Ovis aries: one gene and its partners. The protein of the gene in region 4 interacts with the protein of the main gene of each other region in a biochemical or structural test. Links are inferred from orthologs where the notes say so. Each region holds a gene or a part of one and is shown on either strand. Other genes may lie near its edges.

Region 1 (3,516 bases), on a different chromosome or scaffold from region 4:
CTTCCATGTAGAGTGTGGAGGGAGATCTTAGTGCGGCATTCACCCTGTTCATTCTAAGTGCTCTAAGTACTGCCGAATCAGTCTTCCCAACTCTGTGAGGCTGGTGCGCTAATCCCTGTTTTACAGAAGAGGAAGCTGAGGCACAGAAAGGTGAAGGGACCCACCCAGGATCACACAGCAGTGCCACAAAGGGTTTGCCCAGGGCATGGCACACAGTGGGTGCTCAGAAGACAGTGGTCATGAGGATGATAACTGACATCTCATTCCTCACTTGGGTAAACTTGGATAAAAGTGGGGCTGCCAGATCAAGACAGTGTCCCTGGGAACATAGATGCTCCCTGGGGAAGATCCTCCCCTAGTTCGAAGAGTTGAGTTCAACCCACCGAAGCCGACAGCCTACCACGCACCAGGCTCTTCAAGAAACAGTGAGGCTGACAGTGGCCATTCCCCAGGGGAAGAGCAGCAGGGCTGGAGGCCTGGGCCCATGACGCGGGGCAGGGGCAGGTCGACCCCTGATCCTCCCCCTCTGTCCCTGCTTTCTCTGGCAGCATGGAAGGTGGTGAATTGTTCAGCAGGATTCAGGAGCGTGGCGACCAGGCTTTCACTGAAAGAGGTATGTATGTGCCGCTGCACAGGGAGTTTGGGCCGAGATGGGGCACACAGAGTTTCTCTGTGACGCTGGGCAAGGCCCTGTCCCTCTCTGTGCCTCAGTTTCCCAACTTGAACAAGGGTAGGGGGAGATGTTCTTCCCCCAAGGGGTTCTGTGAGTCTGTGGCAGCTTGTCAGAGATAGACTCCCCATGGGCCTGGGATGGAGGCCTCAATGCTTCTTGGTGCCAGCCCGCAGCTGAGCTGGGGGCATCTCCAGAAGAAACTAGGGGGACCAGTGTTGGGCTCTGAGGTGGGGTCCTGGGTGGCAGGAGTGCACCATCTTGTGCTCTCCCAAGAGGGGTGATGGGGAGGGGGCCCCTGGGCTGCCTGACCCTCGAGAGGCATCCGTGGCCCCCTCCTCTGTCCATGTCTGCAGAAGCCGCAGAGATCATGCGGGATATTGGCACTGCCATCCAGTTTCTGCACAGCCGGAACATCGCCCACCGAGATGTCAAGGTGAGGCTCCAGGACCCATGTTGGGGGACCAGGACAAAGAGTGCCATCCACAAACCCCAGAAGTCCCAGCATCCACTGGATGGAGGCCACGTTCCTTGCTTGGCATTCCAGGCCTCTCCCCGCGGCCCATACTGCATGGCTCAGCCTCTCCTCCCACGGTCCCAGCGTGTTCACTGTGCTCTAGCCAGATAGGCCTCCTTGTTTCCTTCAAGCGTATATAATCCCAGTAGGCATAAGAATAAACTAGTGCCCACCTTGAGCCACTGGGTCCTGAGAAGCATCTCGTTTAATCCTCACCCAGCCCTGTGAGAGGGTGCCATTACCCATTTGACAGATGAGGAAACCGAGGCTCAGAGAGTGATTGTCTTGCTCAAGCCTCTGCAGATGCTGCACTGTCGTTTTGCTCAAGGCTCTGCAGGTGCCTCCCTGGGGATTCATGCATTCATTTGTTCACTCAGCAAGAATTTTGTGAAGACAGTGTGCCAGGCTTCGGTGACAGGGCTGCCCAACACTGTTGGAGCTTGTGTGAAGTAACAGCCATAGTTCCCGTAGGCAGAGCCCTCTGATGGCAGCATTTTAGGGGAAGGAGGCCCTTTGCTGGCCACTGGACAAAGGAGCGGAGGTGATCCTAGTGGCTGGACCTGCTTGTCCCTCCAGTGGACGGGCTTGAGAATGTTCTCTCCAAATTTCCTGTCCAGGGAGGACTGGATCTTACAGGTGATTAGGATCAGATGGAAGAAATGCAAACCAAGGCTTCACATGCACACACACACTCACCTGCCTGTGCCAGCCACTGTCAGAGCAGAATTACAACTCCTGGGCCCTCGGCCTCCCACCTAGACCCTGACTGTCCCGCCCCCCAGACTTATTTCCTCCTAAGACCGGACAGAGGAGACCCGAAGGTCCAGCCGCTGTATCAGATTCTTCCTCTGGCTGAGTATCACCAACTCGTGCGGTTACCCTTTGATCTTGGATACACATGGAGCCACAACAGTCTCACCTTCTGAACCATTGCTTTATTTTGGCCCTGGCCTCCTTTTTTTCCCCTTAAGTGGAGAAAAGCCTTCTATGGAGAAGATTCCTATAGAAAAACTGCTTCCCTGTTTTTCACCCCAGTCCAAGTTTGGATCATCTCAAATAGAACCTGAGAAATAGCTTTCACTGGCTCCAAACTGAAATTCCATGTGCCACCCCATCCCTCTGCCCCAGCTCTGCTGCTTCTCTCCATGGGCCTAGGTCCTACCCATTCATTAGGAAGCAGCTTGAGGGCTGCCTCCTCCATGCAGACCTCCCCACTGCCTTCATCCCTCAGACCCTCTGTGCCCTACAACCAGGAAGACTGGCCTCTGTGCAGCTCCCAGGGCTGAGTTCCCCGAGCAGCGTCAGGTAGGGGCCTGTCATGCAGGCTCGTTCTGGGCTGGGTACAGGATGTGTGCTTGGCAGCACTGGCTCATGAGCAGCCCCCCATTTCCCTGGAACCCTCATTTTGGCATCTCATGGCAGCATCACCGACTGAAGCTCAGAAGTTCCTGCCCCTGGGCTCTCTGTGGCACTCAGTTATCCCCAGGCTTGGTGGAACCACTGCCTTAGTTTCCCCCCTGTGAAACAAGGTGTCACCTCTCAGCTACGTTAGTCTCTTCCACCTTTGGCCCATGTCATTGGCGGCCAAGACCCAGGTCTTTTTTAGTGAGATGGATCCGGCTCCTCCTGCCTCAATCTGGATGAGGGAGGGAGGAAGGAAATCTGACTGCAGATCACCGTGGAAATCTGCCCCCACCTGGTGCCTGAGTCCAGACTAACGTTTTCTCTCCCTGGCCCAGCCTGAAAACCTGCTCTACACGTCCAAGGATAAAGATGCGGTGCTGAAGCTCACGGACTTTGGCTTTGCCAAAGAGACCACCCAGAATGCCCTGCAAACTCCATGTTACACTCCCTACTATGTGGGTGAGTCCCTGGGATGTGGCCGGTACCTCTTTATTGCACCCCGCCCCCCACCCCCACCCCACTGTGGTCTGGGGCAGCTTGTGGGACACAGAAGCCAAAGAGTTAAAGCGCTGTGAGGAGGGAGGGGAGGGTTCTGTCTGTGTGGAGGTGGCAGCTGGGGGGCCGGAGGCTGCAAAAATATTCTCCCAAACTTCAGTTTTTGCTCTTGAAAATAGATCCAGGAAAATTCTGGCTCTGGCCTGTGAGCTGAATGACATCACAGTGGCTCTAAATATATATGTGATAAAAGGCTGCCGTCGGCTTGGGATGGAGCCCAAGTGCGGTTGTTTTTCTCCGGTTTTTATCTTCCTGGGAGTCATATTCAGAAAGTGGGCAGGCGCGTCCTCCTACACGAGAGGGAAGCAAGGGGCCAGCCACCTGTGTTTTGGGAAAGCGTCCCTTAGGTGAGGGCCAGGATGGGCCCCGG
Region 2 (3,516 bases), on a different chromosome or scaffold from region 4:
GATGGCCTCGCCGATGCTCTTCATGATCTCTGAAGCCTCTGCGGAGGAGACGGGAGCAGGGAGCCAGAAGCCAAGTCACAAGATGCGTCCTTAGGTTTGAAAAGCTGAGGCAAGAGCCCTCCCGGGAAGCCTAAGGCCCCTGACGCCCCCACCCACCCCAGAAGGCGAGGTGCAGGAGCGGGCAGAGCCCCAGCAGCAGGTGGGCAGCGGGCCTGAGCACCTCCCTGGGAGCAGGCCCCTGGAGCCCCGCTGCCCCGCCGCCCAGCTGGGCCCGCGACAGACCCTTTCTACCTCTTTCCGTGAAGGCTTGGTCTCCTCGGTCCTGGATTCGACTGAACAGTTCTCCGCCATCCAAACTGAAACAAAGCCACAGTTAGACTGAGGCCGTGACATCGCACTAGCGCGCAAGCCACTACCCTCCAAGAAGAACGAGGTGCTTGCATGCTGAGTTTCAGCGCCCCCAGCCTGCAGTCCTGGGAAGGAAAGGGGACCGGGCGGGGAGCAGGGTCGGGCTGCTCACCACTCCATGACGATCAGCAGGCACTTCCGCCCCGCGTACAGGTTCTCGTAGACGTCCACGATGCGCACGATGTGCGGGCACTGCGAGGCGCGCCAGTGCAGCTCCACCTCGCGGCGGGCCTTGGGGCAGTCCTGCAGCATCTGCAAGCCAGACCTCCTGAGGGAGCACGGGGGCTGCCCCGCCTGCACCTCCCCTGACCCGGCCCATGTGCCCGTCAGCCCTCACCGGCACGCCACTGAACCCTGCCCCCACATCTGCACCCCGCCCGCCCCGGCCCATCAAGTCCCCTGCCCCAGCCCATTGACGCCCCACCCTGCCATCCACCTGCCAACCCCGGTCCGCCCAACCCCCGCCCCAGCCCATCAAGTCCCCTGCCCCGGTCCATCAACAGCCCCTGCCCCGGTCCATCAACGGCCCCTGCCCTGGTCCATCAAGTCCTCTGCCCCAGCCCATCCACCCCCTACCCAGCCCAGCACCAGCCCTCTTGTCACAGCCCTGCACCCCCTCCCAAGCCTGACTTGGGGCCCTGCAGCTCTCTTTTCTGCTCTAAAAGAAACTTCAGGGTGACCCCTTGTGAGGTCTCCACAGCTGACTGGAGACCACCCTTGACCACGTAGGGAAAGACGGTTGGTCCTCTCCCCAGCTAAAGGCATGAAGTCTACTCCAAAAGGCAGGCAGGGCTGAGCACTGGGAGGCGGAGAGTACAGGATGCCTGGGTGGGAAGAAAGACTGACGAACATCCAGATAACCGCAGAAAGGGGCCTAGAGAGGGGAGCCTCCAGATCTGTCGGGAAAGGAAGCTCTAAGATCCCTGAACCCAGCACACCAAATCCACAGCCATATCCTTTCAACAGCAAATAGCCTCAGGAGCCAGCCAGTGTGATCTAACTCCTGGTTCTTAATAGATCCCCAACCTGGAGCAAGTCACTTAACATGAGCCTTGTTCCCAACCCCTCTTCTTTCAGGGACCAGGTGGCCAAGGTATTAAAGGAGCCTGGCTCCCTTACCTGCGTCCAAGGCCGAGATTTGACTAGTCTAAGCCGGTTTCATTAATCCCAAGCCGTTTACTAAGACCCAACACTGGTCAGGTAGCACTCTGCAGCAAGTCTGCAGAGGCCTCTGGAAAGGGGCAGAGAAAGCGGCATGTCTCCTGCGCATGGCACCTGGTGCCAGGACAGTCACTCTGGTACCAGGGGCTACCCTGAGGTGGGGGTGGCACAGCGGAGCACTAAGACACCTGCTGGGAAGCGCACGAGTCTTGGTGAAGAAGATCAGATGGCCAGAGAGGAGCCCGATTACACAGGAAGGGGAAAGGCAAACAGGTGCTCCCAACAATAAAGCTAACATTCAGTTATGCTGTGGTCTATGACACGCTGGGCTTTGCCTTACTGTACAACTGCTGCCCGTTTTACAGGCTGAGGAAATTGAGGCTCACAGAAGCAACGTGTCCCAGGCTCATTTCCTGGGGGAAGCCAGGGCTGGAATCCAGGCCATGTGGATTCCGAAGCCTAAACCTTTTCCACGATACCATGCAACTTTTAGAGGAGGGGTGGAAGCCAAGACTTGTTAGTCTCAGATCACCAAATGCAAACTGGTTTCAGAGACACAACCCCCAACAGGTGCCCAGATAATTCAGTCTCCTAGGGAGCAGTCACCATGAGGTCACACTGCCACCTGGTGGCAGTATAGGGACACTGCACAGATCCTGAGTTTGCTCCCTTCAACTTCATTCATTCAAAAAGGTTATTTTCCCTTCCCACACCCTATGAAAAGGAGGAAGAGACTCTGGCCAATCTCATTTGAAAGTATTTCAATTCAACAAGCATTTACAGAGCTCCTACTATGGACCACACGTTGTGCTAGATGTGAAAACCAGAGAGTCCCAGTCTGAAAGAGACAGTTGGACGGCATCATTGGACATGAGTTTGAGCAAATTCCGGGAGATGGTGAAGGACAGGGAAGCCTGATGGGCTGCAGTCCATGAGGTCGCAAAGAGTCAGACACGACTGAGCAACTGAACGACCTGAAAAAACTCAAACTGGGGGAAGGGGTGTGAGCGAAGGCTGCCACACAGAAAATGCTTATAACCCAGTGAGAAGCTGCTGTGAGACTGCTAAATTCAGAGTTCAAGAGAAAGAGTTCTCCCCGCAGCCCCAAAAGAAAGACCTCTGTCGCCCTCTACAGGCACACAGTGCTGAAGCCCAAGCTGTCACAGTCACTCAGAGGCAACAGGAGGTCAAGGATCTGCAGTTAGGAGGCACTTGGGCCTGGGTCTGAAATCTGTCCATTTCTGGTTGCACAGCCTTGGAGAGACCGTCACCTTTTGAGCCTGCTCCACATCTGCGAGTCAGGGGTTACAATATCTGCCTCCCTCCCTCACAGAGCCACTGCAAGCTTCTAATGAAAGAACCTCTGAGCACACTTTGTTATCAGAAAGGCGCTCACCTCTGCAAGCCATCAGTGTAGCTGCCACAGCACAGGGGCCCTCTCAGTCACCTCTGAGTGAGGCTGGAACACCCTGATATAACCGACAAACCCTGATGTTACAAGTCACCAGCAAGACCATAGGCTGGGTTTGCGTCTGCAGCCCCATGACCACCGCCTAGAAACCAGCTCTGCTCAAACTTTCCACAGCTGTGCTAAGTGAGCACGCTGCTACTGCTGCTGCTGCTAAGTCGCTTCAGTCATGTCCGACTCTGTGCGACCCCAGAGACAGCAGCCCACCAGGCTCCTCCGTCCACAGGACTCTCTAGGCAAGAACACTGGAGTGGGTTGCCATTTTCTTCTCTAAGTGAGCACACACCAAGGCCCAAACCCACGTGCACGCCCCCCAGCCCCTCCTAAACTCAGAGTACACATTGCAGGATCTGCCTGCTCTCTTTACCTCAGACACAGCAACGTGTGGGGCATCAGGCAAAAGAGAACGTGCAGCCAGGAAGCCTGGGTTCACATTCCGCCTTCAGATTTGCACACAGTTCACTCCGTAGCTGGCAGAG
Region 3 (3,516 bases), on a different chromosome or scaffold from region 4:
AAGCAGCTAGTATCAGACCAGGTCTGACAGTGTGGGATCTTTACCCTGCTTTTTGTAGTGGGAAAGCTGTACTGTCAAGAGATTCAATAGATAAACACACTGACAGAGAACTCCTTATTTCTTCTTTAATAAGCTAATAAATAAGACTGAGGTGCTACTTAGCTACTGGTACTAACTCATTCTTCATCTTTAAACCCTCAGAAAAAAAAAAAAAGGACAAAACATGCCACCACCACAACTGCCTGGAATAAAGGTAACACAACTGGCCACAATCATCACTGTGACCCAGCATCTCTAGGGCTAGAGAAATTCTGGCCAAGTATTTAGCAAGCAATCATTTTTAAAAAAATTTTATTGGAGTATAGCTGATTTACAATGTTGTATTACTAATAGCTATCAATCATTATTAAGAAGACACAGAAAACGAAGAGTCAGTACTAATGGTGAAGAGACCCTGCTGCTGCTACTGCTAAGTCACTTCAGCCGTGTCCAACTCTGTGCAACCCCACAGACGGCAGCCCACCAGGCTCCCCCATCCCTGGGAATCTCCAGACAAGAGTACTGGAGTGGGTTGCCATTTGCAAACTCAATTCTCAACCTGGTCTCCACCAGCTACTAGCTGCATGACCCTGGGCATGCTACTTTATTTCTCTCATCTTCAACCTTGCCATTCAGTAAAATGAGAATAAACAGTAAGGTCTACCCCATGGGGTTGTTCTGATGATTAAATCAGATGAGTATAAGCATTCAAGCTGATGCTTTCAAGAGCTGTTTGTTAGGTGTTGGAATGATGACTTTACTATAAACAGCGTCAAACCCTACACATATTGTTCATAGGCCTTACTAGAAAAACCTGATCTGTCAGCTACTTTGCAAATTTTACCCAATCCAACAGTATCTTAAGGCTACCTCACAGTTAAACAGCTTGTGCAGAGTAATCTCCTAGTCACAAGTGAAGTTAAGTCAATTACAAAAAGACCTAAAGTCATGTAAACTGCTATGGAAGGAAAGCTGTAGGCAGATCATCCTCTTGAGATATATGTAAAACAGCATGAAGTGATAATTCTAGAAGAGACTTAGATCACATGTACTCTTTAACATAAACTTTTAAACAGAAATAACCAGGTGAATGCTGTCATGTAACTCTACTTAAGCAGAATGGTTAAATTAAGCGAGAGAACTAAATTGAAACAGTGCTTCAGTGACCTTTGAGAGAGATACAAGACGTGGCAGCAAAACGGCACCAAGTTCCACTAGAGCAATTACTCGAGCTAACTTTTGTTCAGTATGAACTTTTATTAGACACACACCCTGAGGCTGACGGGTTTATCCGTAATGCTTATAAATAGTCTCCAGGTTGATAAAGTCCTGAAATACAATCTTTACCTCAAGACAGCCACCCTCAAATGACATCTCCCAAGAGGTGGCAGAACAACCAACCAATACCTGTACACTGAATCGGAGGCAAGAGCAAGCAGAGAACATTCATCTTCCTGATTCAGTAAAGGACAGTGTGAAGCAACGCAGCCTGGAAGGATACCTGGGAAATATCTTAGCATGAAGAACTCTACAATCGTCAAGGCAACAGCATCATAAGTAGTAACAGGCACTCCTGAGTGGTCAGTTTCTAACAAACAAGTTTTAAGAGAAATCCTGGGCTTGATTTAACCTTTTCTGTTATGGTGACCCACACAGATAACAATGACTTGAAACAGCATTTTAAAAAGAAAATGAAAAGCAATAAATTCAGGTTATACAGCCTTCTGAATCTGCTGATTTGTGACTTCATAAATAAACCCTTGTGGAGATGTTTAGTCTGCATCATTCCTATACCTTTCTCCTCAAAGCCAACCAGACTAGTGTCAATTGTAAACCTTCTCTCCCTCTTTCCCTCAACAGCACTCAATTCTGTATACACAGCTGGTACTGAGTAAACACTGACCAATCAAATGGAGTGGGATTTGCCAAAACCCCAAGGAGATTTCATCAGACAAGTGGGCCATACTATTCTATGAATAGTATGAACTCACAGTGAACTCTTTAGGGGCCTTCTGGTCAAAAATCATTTAATTGCATCTGCTTTGCCAAAAGGGACTTTTCCATTCCTATTCTACCTGTCTCTAAATAAGAAACAAACAAACAAAAAGAAATGTCCTTCTGTAGACCTAGCCAGATAAACTGTACTTTACACAGTATTTGTGAGGTATTGGAAAGAGGAGGGCAGGAAGTGTGTCCTACACACTAGGACAAGGCCCAACAATCTTCCCATACTTTCACAACAGAGTTCAAACTGTGAAAGTCACAGTGTTTTCAGAGAATAAAGCTCATTTGCTTTTTGCATCCTCATTCCAGGATACTAACTACCCTTCCACTCCTGACAGTTACCTGGATGGCTTAGCCCAAACTGTGGCTGACTGCAATTGGTCCTTCCTAGATTTCAGAATTGCCTTAGGTGCCATTCTTCCAACTTAAAAAGGTTCTCATTTGAAGAAGAGGAGAAAGGATCTTTTGGGGCCAGGGTATGTCTACTCTGCGAAACCTTCCTCAGGGACCCTGCAATTAAGTCACACCTTTTTCAATATTCCTACAGTGCTGTGTACATACCTCTATTATAGCAAAATTACTAAACTGTGATTCTTTTTTTACGTGTATATAACCCTTACTAAAATCAATAATCTTGGTGATAGAAAGTATTCTTCATTTATCTTTGTAATTCCAATGACCCATAAAAAGCAAGCCTACAATAAAATTTTGTTAAACGAAATCTGTGGCATAACTCAGGGTAGTAATAATTTTCCTAAGGATTCTTCATTCCTTTTTCTTTCTTCACACTCAGGTCCTTTGAATCTCTATCAAACATCAATCATCACAGCAAAGTTTCCTACCTCCCAGTACTTGGTTCGGTTGACACCCTCTGAATATGCTCGGGCAAAGGTACTTTCACTGTTGAGAGCTGTAACAGCTGCACTGAGCTGAGACATGGGGTGTAGATTAGTGGGAAAGTTGTCCAGCATGGTGACCACATGGGAAGGCAGAGCTGCCCTCTTTGCCCACTCCTGTGAGAGCCAAGATACCTGTGAAAAGGAAGACATCGCTCAGAACACTAGACAAGGGAAAAAAAGACAAATAAAAAGACAACAGGGGACTTCCCTGGTGGTCCAGTGGTTAAGAATTTGCCTTCCAATGCAGGGGACATGTTACCGGGCAACAAAGCCCACATGCTGCAGCTGGAGAACAGAGAAGCTCACGTGCTCTAGAGCCTGTGTGCCACAACTAGAGAAAGCCTGCGCATGGCACGGCACGGCACAGCACAGCCAAAATTGAGAAAAATGAGAGAAAAAGAGAATGAGTATTCCCTGGTGGCCCAGTGGTTAGGACTCAGCACTCTCACTGCTAGGAGCCTGGGTTGAATCTCTGGCTCTGAGTAACTTGCAAAATGGTAACAAAGATCTTACAAGCTGCCTGGTATGACCAAAATAAAAAATTAAAAATAAAGAAAATGAAAAGACTAACTTC
Region 4 (3,577 bases):
GGGGGGGCAGCAAGCAGAGTGTGTCTCGGGAGAAGAGAAAACAAGAGGAGTCCAAGGTGGGAGCTTGACCAGGGGAAGAGCCCTGAGCACTAGAGATGAGAGCCTTCCTCTGCTAGTGGCTTACGGGAGACTGTAGGCCCATCACCTCATCTCCAAACCTGTTTCCTCATTGAAAAAGGAGGGATACAGGACACATGTCAGGAGAAGGAAGGCAGGAGAGAGAGATTGTTAGGATTATGGCAGGAAGCTAGGGGCAGCATCTTTTCCCAGAGCGGGTAGTGGGGGCGTGGATCTCACAGGCGGTCAGATCGGAGGAGGGGCCGGCCTCAGGCTCCAAGCAAGTTTGAAGGAATTGCCCCCTCTCCGTCTGCGGGAATATTCAACAGAACAGGATCGAGGTAATAACCTGCCAACAGGGAAAGGAGCATTGGCCCAAATCACACAAACAGCAAAGCCCTGACTAGATTCAAGGTTGCTGCATTTCAAGTTCCCCTGTCTAGGGCTCCTCCAGAAAACTAGATATAATGGGGAGACTTGACCATAACCTTCTTCCTGACCCCTTCTCAGTACTGGCCCTCAAGGTTTGTGATCTGAGTCTACTCCACTGGGGTTCAGTGGGCAAATGGCCAAACCTACACATACCATTGCCTCTGCAACAGGGACACATACATGCTTTCCTTCTTGCCCCCTCCTTCAACTTCAGGGGCTAATAATAATTATAGATAATATATTATCTATATATATTATCTATATATAAATATAGATAATATATTCATTATCGTGTACCCTGGACTAAAATGTTTACTTGCATTGAGGCTGAATCTTCAAACCAACCTAGCGATGAAAGCATTATCATCACCACCATCATCCCATTTTCCCGATGGGGAAACTGAGGCAAAAGACTCTGAACTTGCACAAGTTCATCCAGTGAGTGGCAGAACCTGCATGTGAACTCAGGCGGTCTACCTCCCGAGACCGCCCTAACCACGCTGCTTCTTAAGGCATTATATCACAGACACACTGCCTTCCAAATCCTGGCTCGCTCTGCCAGTTCCTAGTTGTGCGCCCTGGGACTCACTGCTCGACCTCTCTCTCTCCCCTTGGGACTCACTGCTCGACCTCTTTCTCTCTTTCTCTCTCTCCCTCTCGGCTTTGTCCTCCCCGACTGTCCACAGATAGAGGCCCAGCGCTTTAGCACCCAGGCCTCCGAGCGTCCAGCAGTGGGCAGTGCTCCGACATCGAGGCTCTAGTCATTTGTTTTCTCGAACAAGAGAAGGTTCCAGATGTGGGCAGGGCCTTCCTCGCCCCGCCCCGCGCCCCGGTATGCAGTGGAGGGGAATGCAGGGGGAGGGGCTGCCCCCTGGCCCGTCATTGCCATTAATAGAGACCTGAAACACCGCCTGCTAAAAATACCCGGCTGGAGACCCATAAAAGCGCTACGGGGTCCGGCGCCCGCCACTTCTCCCGCTTCTCCGAGCCTACTCCGGACGCACCCAGACTAGCCAGCATGGCCGAGCGCCGAGTGCCCTTCTCGCTCCTAAGGGGCCCCAGCTGGGACCCTTTCCGCGACTGGTATCCGGCCCACAGCCGCCTCTTCGACCAGGCCTTCGGGCTGCCCCGGCTGCCCGAGGAGTGGTCGCAGTGGCTGAGCCACAGCGGATGGCCGGGCTACGTGCGCCCGCTGCCCGCCGCAGCGATCGAGGGTCCCGCCTACAGCCGCGCGCTCAGCCGACAGCTCAGCAGCGGGGTCTCCGAGATCCAGCAGACCGCCGACCGCTGGCGCGTGTCCCTGGACGTCAACCACTTCGCCCCCGAGGAGCTGACGGTCAAGACCAAGGACGGCGTGGTGGAGATCACTGGTAAGCACCCCCTGGCCCCCGCCCCAGGGACGCCGGCCCCTCGCCTCTCGCGGGTCCCGGGGAAGAGCTCTGGGTTGAAACATGGGCGGGGAGCCGGGAGAGGGGGCCGCTGGAAAGTGAAAACTTAGCCGAGGACGGGCGGTGGGGGGGAAGGCGGGGAGCCCCCAGAGCGGGGCCCGGCCTCTTCGCCCTAGCCCTGGTCTGTATTCTCTGGAGTTGGGGTTTGCTGGAGTTCCTAAGGGATCTTTTAGCCCTAAAAAGTCTCCACTAAGGAAAGCAACGCCCCCTTCCAGCGGAGACTCCCCTCAACCCCAGCCCTCGGACCTGAGGACCTGGCCCCCAAGGGACCAGGCCCCCCCGCCACGCCCCACCCACCCGGGCCCGCAGTCGGTATGAAGAGGGCGTCGCCCTCGCCGCCCTGCCCCCCATGCCCCCCACGTCACGGTCCCTGCTCCCAGCCCGGGTCCGCGGAGGGGGCGTGTGCGCCTGCCCCGAGCCGCGCTTCCACCCCCACCCCCCACTCGCCAAGCCCCTGAACCCGAACTTTCCAAAAGCTTCTGAGTTCCCCAAAGCTTCTGAGTTCCCGGGACAGTCTCGGGCACCCAGATCCCTCCGTCAGTCTTGCCAGCCCGGAGTCCTGGCCCGCAGGTGGGGCGCGCTGGGCTGCGAGCCAGCGGCTAGGCCGCCCCTCCCCGCCTCCTCTGACCTACTTCCCCTCCCCCTCCTCCCAGGCAAACACGAGGAAAGGCAGGACGAGCACGGCTACATTTCCCGTTGCTTCACTCGCAAATACACGTGAGTCCTGGCTCCGGATCTGGGGGGCGGCGGGCGGGAGAGGGGCGCGCGGGGACGCCCTGGTGTGTAACTCTTGTCCACCCTCTTTGCCCGTCCAGGCTGCCCCCCGGTGTGGATCCCACCCTGGTCTCCTCCTCTCTGTCCCCTGAGGGCACACTCACCGTGGAGGCCCCGTTGCCCAAGTCAGCTACCCAGTCTGCCGAGATCACCATTCCCGTCACCTTCCAGGCGCGTGCCCAGCTTGGCGGCCCCGAAGCCGGAAAGTCCGAACAGCCGGCAAACAAGTAAAGGCCCTTTGCCCAGCGGCCCACCCCACAAGTAGCCATCACTGACCATCCTCACCCGCCAAACCTCTATGTTCTTTTGATACGTTTGCCTTCTGTTTTTCTCAAATAAAGTTTGAAGCCACTGCCCGCCACTGCCTCAGACCCTGCTGGTTTTGTGAAGGAAGAAGGGTTGGTGCTGGTTTGATGTTTGCTGAGGGCCCGCTGGGCACCAAGCCCCAGGCTGGGTCCTGTGGGTGCAGTATCATCTGTCACTGGGCACAGCCCTGCCCTCCTGTACCCCTTGTTCATTAAGAGAGAAGCAGTGATTGTTCACCGGAGTTAAAACGCCCAGGGCTGGAGGGGGAGCAGGGGAAATTATGAGAGGCACTTGACCCAGGCTTGGGCACTCAGGAACCACCTGGGCAAGGGGGCAGGTGAGGGAAGACAGGGCAGGGCTGGGGGAGAGGGCTTCCTGGGAGCTCAGATTCCTGACTTCATCGTAGAGGGTTTGGACCAGGTAGATTGGAGGGGAGGTGTGGCCACCCCTGGCGGCTTTCTGAGGGGCGATTCCCCCAGCCCAGCCCATGTAGGCAGCACGGGACCTGGGTCCTCAGGTCTGAGAGTGCCCCGCAGAGAGTGATGAGCAGGTGTGGCTTA
Region 5 (3,516 bases), on a different chromosome or scaffold from region 4:
TATGAGTGACCATTTTCTTTTTGCTTTCAGAGCTGTGACTTGTGGTCCCTAGGGGTGATTATCTATGTGATGTTGTGCGGATACCCTCCTTTTTACTCCAAACACCATAGCCGGACTATCCCAAAGGATATGCGGAGAAAAATCATGACAGGCAGTTTTGAGTTCCCGGAGGAAGAGTGGAGCCAGATCTCAGAGATGGCCAAAGATGTTGTGAGAAAGTGAGTCTCTGGGCCACTGGGTGGGGCCCTTAAAAGTGGTGGAATGCAAAGCAATGTTGGGTAGAGAAAATTCTTTGTTTTGCAGGCATGTACCTTCTCATTTTTATCATCACAGAAAATCTGTCCTGGAGTCTGAAATGAGAGTTCTCAGTATCCACATCTCGGTGAAATTGGAGCTGTACTCCCTCCTGTTGCATTCCTAGAATTTGTCCCTAGGGTTGAATCCAGGTCCCTTGGTAGCCACTGTATCCGTTAGCATTAATTCAGACTTTAAATGGTAACCCCCGGTGCATCCTTCCTGCACGGAGGCCAGTCGTTTGGCACTGACATGATGCCGGAAGCTGAACTAGGGTGCCGGAATGGCCACGACGCTTTTGTCCTTTCCTCCCTTAGCTACTGTGGGAGTGTGACTGGTTGTCCAGGACCTCAATCCCACCCTGGCCTCCCTGCTGCTAGTTGGTTGCTCTGACATATAGAGATAGAAAGGTTCAAAAGGACTAGGGCTAAGTGAGTGGATGAGGGACACATGACATTCAGAGTCCTTTGTTTCTTACAGAGCAGCGCACAGCTGTGATGTGAGGCGCGAGTGGCCACAGCGGCAGGCTCCCTGGGCCGCCTTCCTCAGGCGGACACTGTTCTGTCCTGCTGTTCAGGAGGGGCTTGGGTTGAGGCCTCTGTGGACCCAGTTTCTGAGGCAGGTGGAACTGCGTTTAATTAAGATAGGAGTCTGTTATTAATAAGCATGCTCTGACTACAGGCCATGAAATCACCTGAAACCTACAGACATGGTAGTGCCTTTCAACATATCTTCCCCAAGAATGACCTCACACATGGGCACGTGCTCCAGCTCCTTAGCTGAAGTTACTAAGAAGTCAGGCCTACATAGGAGGTGTGCTCGGTTTTTCTGCCCACCTGTGCCAGGGGATCTGCTGCCTGGGACTTATGCGCTCTTCTGACATTACTACTTTGCTCTTCACTGAGTAATTGCTCCTCTTGATTTCAGTTTCTTCATCTGTAATGTGATAAAGATAAGCATTAAAGGGGCAGTACCTGGGAACTGTCTCCTAATAGTACAGCTATTTCTCTATGCAGATTACTCTCTTTCAGAAGTGAACTTGTCCTGTTGGTTAGGTATTCATGTACATAAAAAGGGATTCATTTCTTAAGTATCCAAGTGAACGTGTTTTAGGAGGGTGGAGGCAATTTGAAATCTGTCTTCCCATGTTCTTTCCATGCTGTATTCTCAGCTACTTAACCAAAACATCGATATCCTCTAAGTGGTTCTCTGCAGTTCTATAGAGTGTATTTCCCCTGTCACTAGAGTAACATTGATTATCTTCTCTCAGCATTGAGGGTCTTTTCTAAATAATCCTTTCTTTAGAATCTGAAGCTGTTCACAATGATCCAGAAAGTTACAGAGAACATGAAAGAGCAAGTAGGCACGTTGTCCTGACTGATGTTTGGAATGGGAGGCTATGTATTTGGAAGGAGTGCTGTAAAAGGTCCAGGGAATATGCTGGGGTAAGCTAGGAATTGCATCGGTATGAATGTACAAGATGAAAAGAACTGTGGTCAAAAGCTGATGGTATAGACAATACATTAGGCTTAGAAAGAAATGCTGTTCCCTTCTCAGATATTAGATTTTTAGCTTAGAATGTCTTCGGAGAAATGGCTCAGGGTTCGTGTGCTGCCATATGGTGCTATCTAAAAGTTTTATCACAAGTAGCAATCTGGATTTTCAGAACTGTATGATCGCTTAACTAATTTTACAGCCACTGTTGGCCAAAAGAGTACTTTGAGTCCCTTCTGGAAATTATAGCCCACTGTCCTAGAAACATTAGTCTGGGGATTCAGTGTCTCAGGAACTGTGAGCCATATGTAAGATTGATTACCTTACTGAACCTAGAACTCAGTCTGAGGTATCACTGGATTAAGCCTTTTCCTACCATTTTTAATCTCAATTTATTTAGTAGAGAAAGGACTGCCTAAGGACACAGCGCCCTCACAACTAACAGTTAGGGAAGAGAATCTCACCTCTGTCCTGCAGAAAGCCTAGGCTGTAAGAGTTGGCAGAAAGTAGAAAGTCAGAAGCTGGAGCTGACTAGAGCCAGGCTCGGGAACTTTATGGCCTTCTGGAAGCAACTGTGCATGGCAGCCCTTTTGGCCTTTTCTCCACAGGCTCTTGAAGGTCAAACCAGAGGAAAGACTTACCATCGAGGGAGTGCTGGACCACCCCTGGCTCAACTCAACTGAGGCCCTGGATAATGTGCTACCCTCTGCTCAACTGATGATGGATAAGGTTCTGAATGATGCTTATGTTGTTGGCCAAAATGGTGGTGTTGGGAAGGAATGCTGGGGCTTGACTCAGTGAGGGGGTTAAAGGCAAAACAATGCAGAGCGCACTGTCTTTCCCAGAGAAACATCTCTGGTCTCCTGAAGATCAGGATTGGAAACAAGGAGCTTCCTTCCATAAAGACCAGATCAAAGCCTGGTACATACACTAAGGGAACATTCAAAGTATCCTCTTCCACATTTGTGCTGTGGGGTTGAGGCAGAGAGCAGTATCAGACATCAACCATCCTTTTGCCCAAGGGGTTTAAATAAGACTGGTTAGAAACACCAATAAATACAAAACAAAGAGGGAATACTCTCAGACATCAGAGCTTTTGCATGCTAAATTTTCTGTGAATTCTTATGGGAATTCAGAAAAAGAAGACATCTTTGAAGGGCTGTAATTAGGGAAGGGTTCCCAAAGAGAAGGCAAAACCCATCACAGTTACTAACTATTGTGTGGCACTTTTAAACCCCTTTACATGTTTAGCTGTGAGCTGGCCTTGGAAGAACTGGAGTAGAGAGCACATGTGCCCACATATTATGGACAACATGAGCGAAAAATTAGAGGCTGAAATCCATCAGTGGGAAAAACAGCCTGATTTCATTAATGGGAAGTTGGTGAAATGGGTGTGATAGGGAAGGGCCTGGCTTTGAAAGTAGACAGAGGGGTGTAAGTCTTAGTAGGACCTAATTGAGAGGCTCGTACAGATTTCTGAGAAGAGTTCTGCTACAGGGAAGATATTTAGGGTAGGGATGGTTAGTCAGACTTGCAGACTCACCAATCTAATACTACTACAGTAATCTAGAAGCTGGAAAGCTGCACTAGGAGCAGAGAGGTAGAGATGAATGAATAGGCTCAATATTTTTGAAGACAAATTTCAACAATTTTTGGTGACTGACTAGAGATAAGGGGACAGTGAGTGGCATATCTGGTGATACCACTGACAGGGAAATCAGAAATGAG

What was found.
Region 1: of the proteins of HSPB1 (region 4) and MAPKAPK3, one has a biochemical effect on the other in vitro, tested with the Homo sapiens proteins (2 studies listed by BioGRID and IntAct). The link is inferred for Ovis aries from reciprocal best matches to the Homo sapiens genes HSPB1 and MAPKAPK3.
Region 2: of the proteins of HSPB1 (region 4) and MAPKAPK2, one has a biochemical effect on the other in vitro, tested with the Homo sapiens proteins (17 studies listed by BioGRID and IntAct, with this or other methods). The link is inferred for Ovis aries from reciprocal best matches to the Homo sapiens genes HSPB1 and MAPKAPK2.
Region 3: the proteins of HSPB1 (region 4) and CS form a complex in vitro, tested with the Homo sapiens proteins (2 studies listed by BioGRID). The link is inferred for Ovis aries from reciprocal best matches to the Homo sapiens genes HSPB1 and CS.
Region 5: of the proteins of HSPB1 (region 4) and MAPKAPK5, one has a biochemical effect on the other in vitro, tested with the Homo sapiens proteins (4 studies listed by BioGRID and IntAct). The link is inferred for Ovis aries from reciprocal best matches to the Homo sapiens genes HSPB1 and MAPKAPK5.

What each region holds. Positions count from the first base shown.
Region 1 is NC_056072.1:49,765,478-49,768,993, reverse strand, and holds part of MAPKAPK3 (MAP kinase-activated protein kinase 3), read left to right. Parts: intron 1-548; coding exon 549-613; intron 614-1,026; coding exon 1,027-1,106; intron 1,107-2,926; coding exon 2,927-3,050; intron 3,051-3,516. UniProt on the Homo sapiens protein: Stress-activated serine/threonine-protein kinase involved in cytokines production, endocytosis, cell migration, chromatin remodeling and transcriptional regulation.
Region 2 is NC_056065.1:4,327,897-4,331,412, reverse strand, and holds part of MAPKAPK2 (MAP kinase-activated protein kinase 2), read right to left. Parts: intron 661-3,516; coding exon 521-660; intron 357-520; coding exon 292-356; intron 39-291; coding exon 1-38. UniProt on the Homo sapiens protein: Stress-activated serine/threonine-protein kinase involved in cytokine production, endocytosis, reorganization of the cytoskeleton, cell migration, cell cycle control, chromatin remodeling, DNA damage response and transcriptional regulation.
Region 3 is NC_056056.1:163,274,538-163,278,053, reverse strand, and holds part of CS (citrate synthase, mitochondrial), read right to left. Parts: intron 3,075-3,516; coding exon 2,886-3,074; intron 1,769-2,885; exon of another isoform or gene 1,458-1,768; coding exon of another isoform or gene 1,393-1,457; exon of another isoform or gene 411-1,392; coding exon of another isoform or gene 394-410; exon of another isoform or gene 328-393; coding exon of another isoform or gene 202-327; exon of another isoform or gene 1-201. UniProt on the Homo sapiens protein: Key enzyme of the Krebs tricarboxylic acid cycle which catalyzes the synthesis of citrate from acetyl coenzyme A and oxaloacetate.
Region 4 is NC_056077.1:34,787,627-34,791,203, forward strand, and holds HSPB1 (heat shock protein beta-1), read left to right. Parts: upstream 1-1,457; 5' UTR 1,458-1,507; coding exon 1,508-1,859; intron 1,860-2,590; coding exon 2,591-2,654; intron 2,655-2,752; coding exon 2,753-2,942; 3' UTR 2,943-3,067; downstream 3,068-3,577. UniProt on the Homo sapiens protein: Small heat shock protein which functions as a molecular chaperone probably maintaining denatured proteins in a folding-competent state. Plays a role in stress resistance and actin organization.
Region 5 is NC_056070.1:62,409,033-62,412,548, reverse strand, and holds part of MAPKAPK5 (MAP kinase-activated protein kinase 5), read left to right. Parts: intron 1-30; coding exon 31-218; intron 219-2,396; coding exon 2,397-2,517; intron 2,518-3,516. UniProt on the Homo sapiens protein: Tumor suppressor serine/threonine-protein kinase involved in mTORC1 signaling and post-transcriptional regulation. Phosphorylates FOXO3, ERK3/MAPK6, ERK4/MAPK4, HSP27/HSPB1, p53/TP53 and RHEB.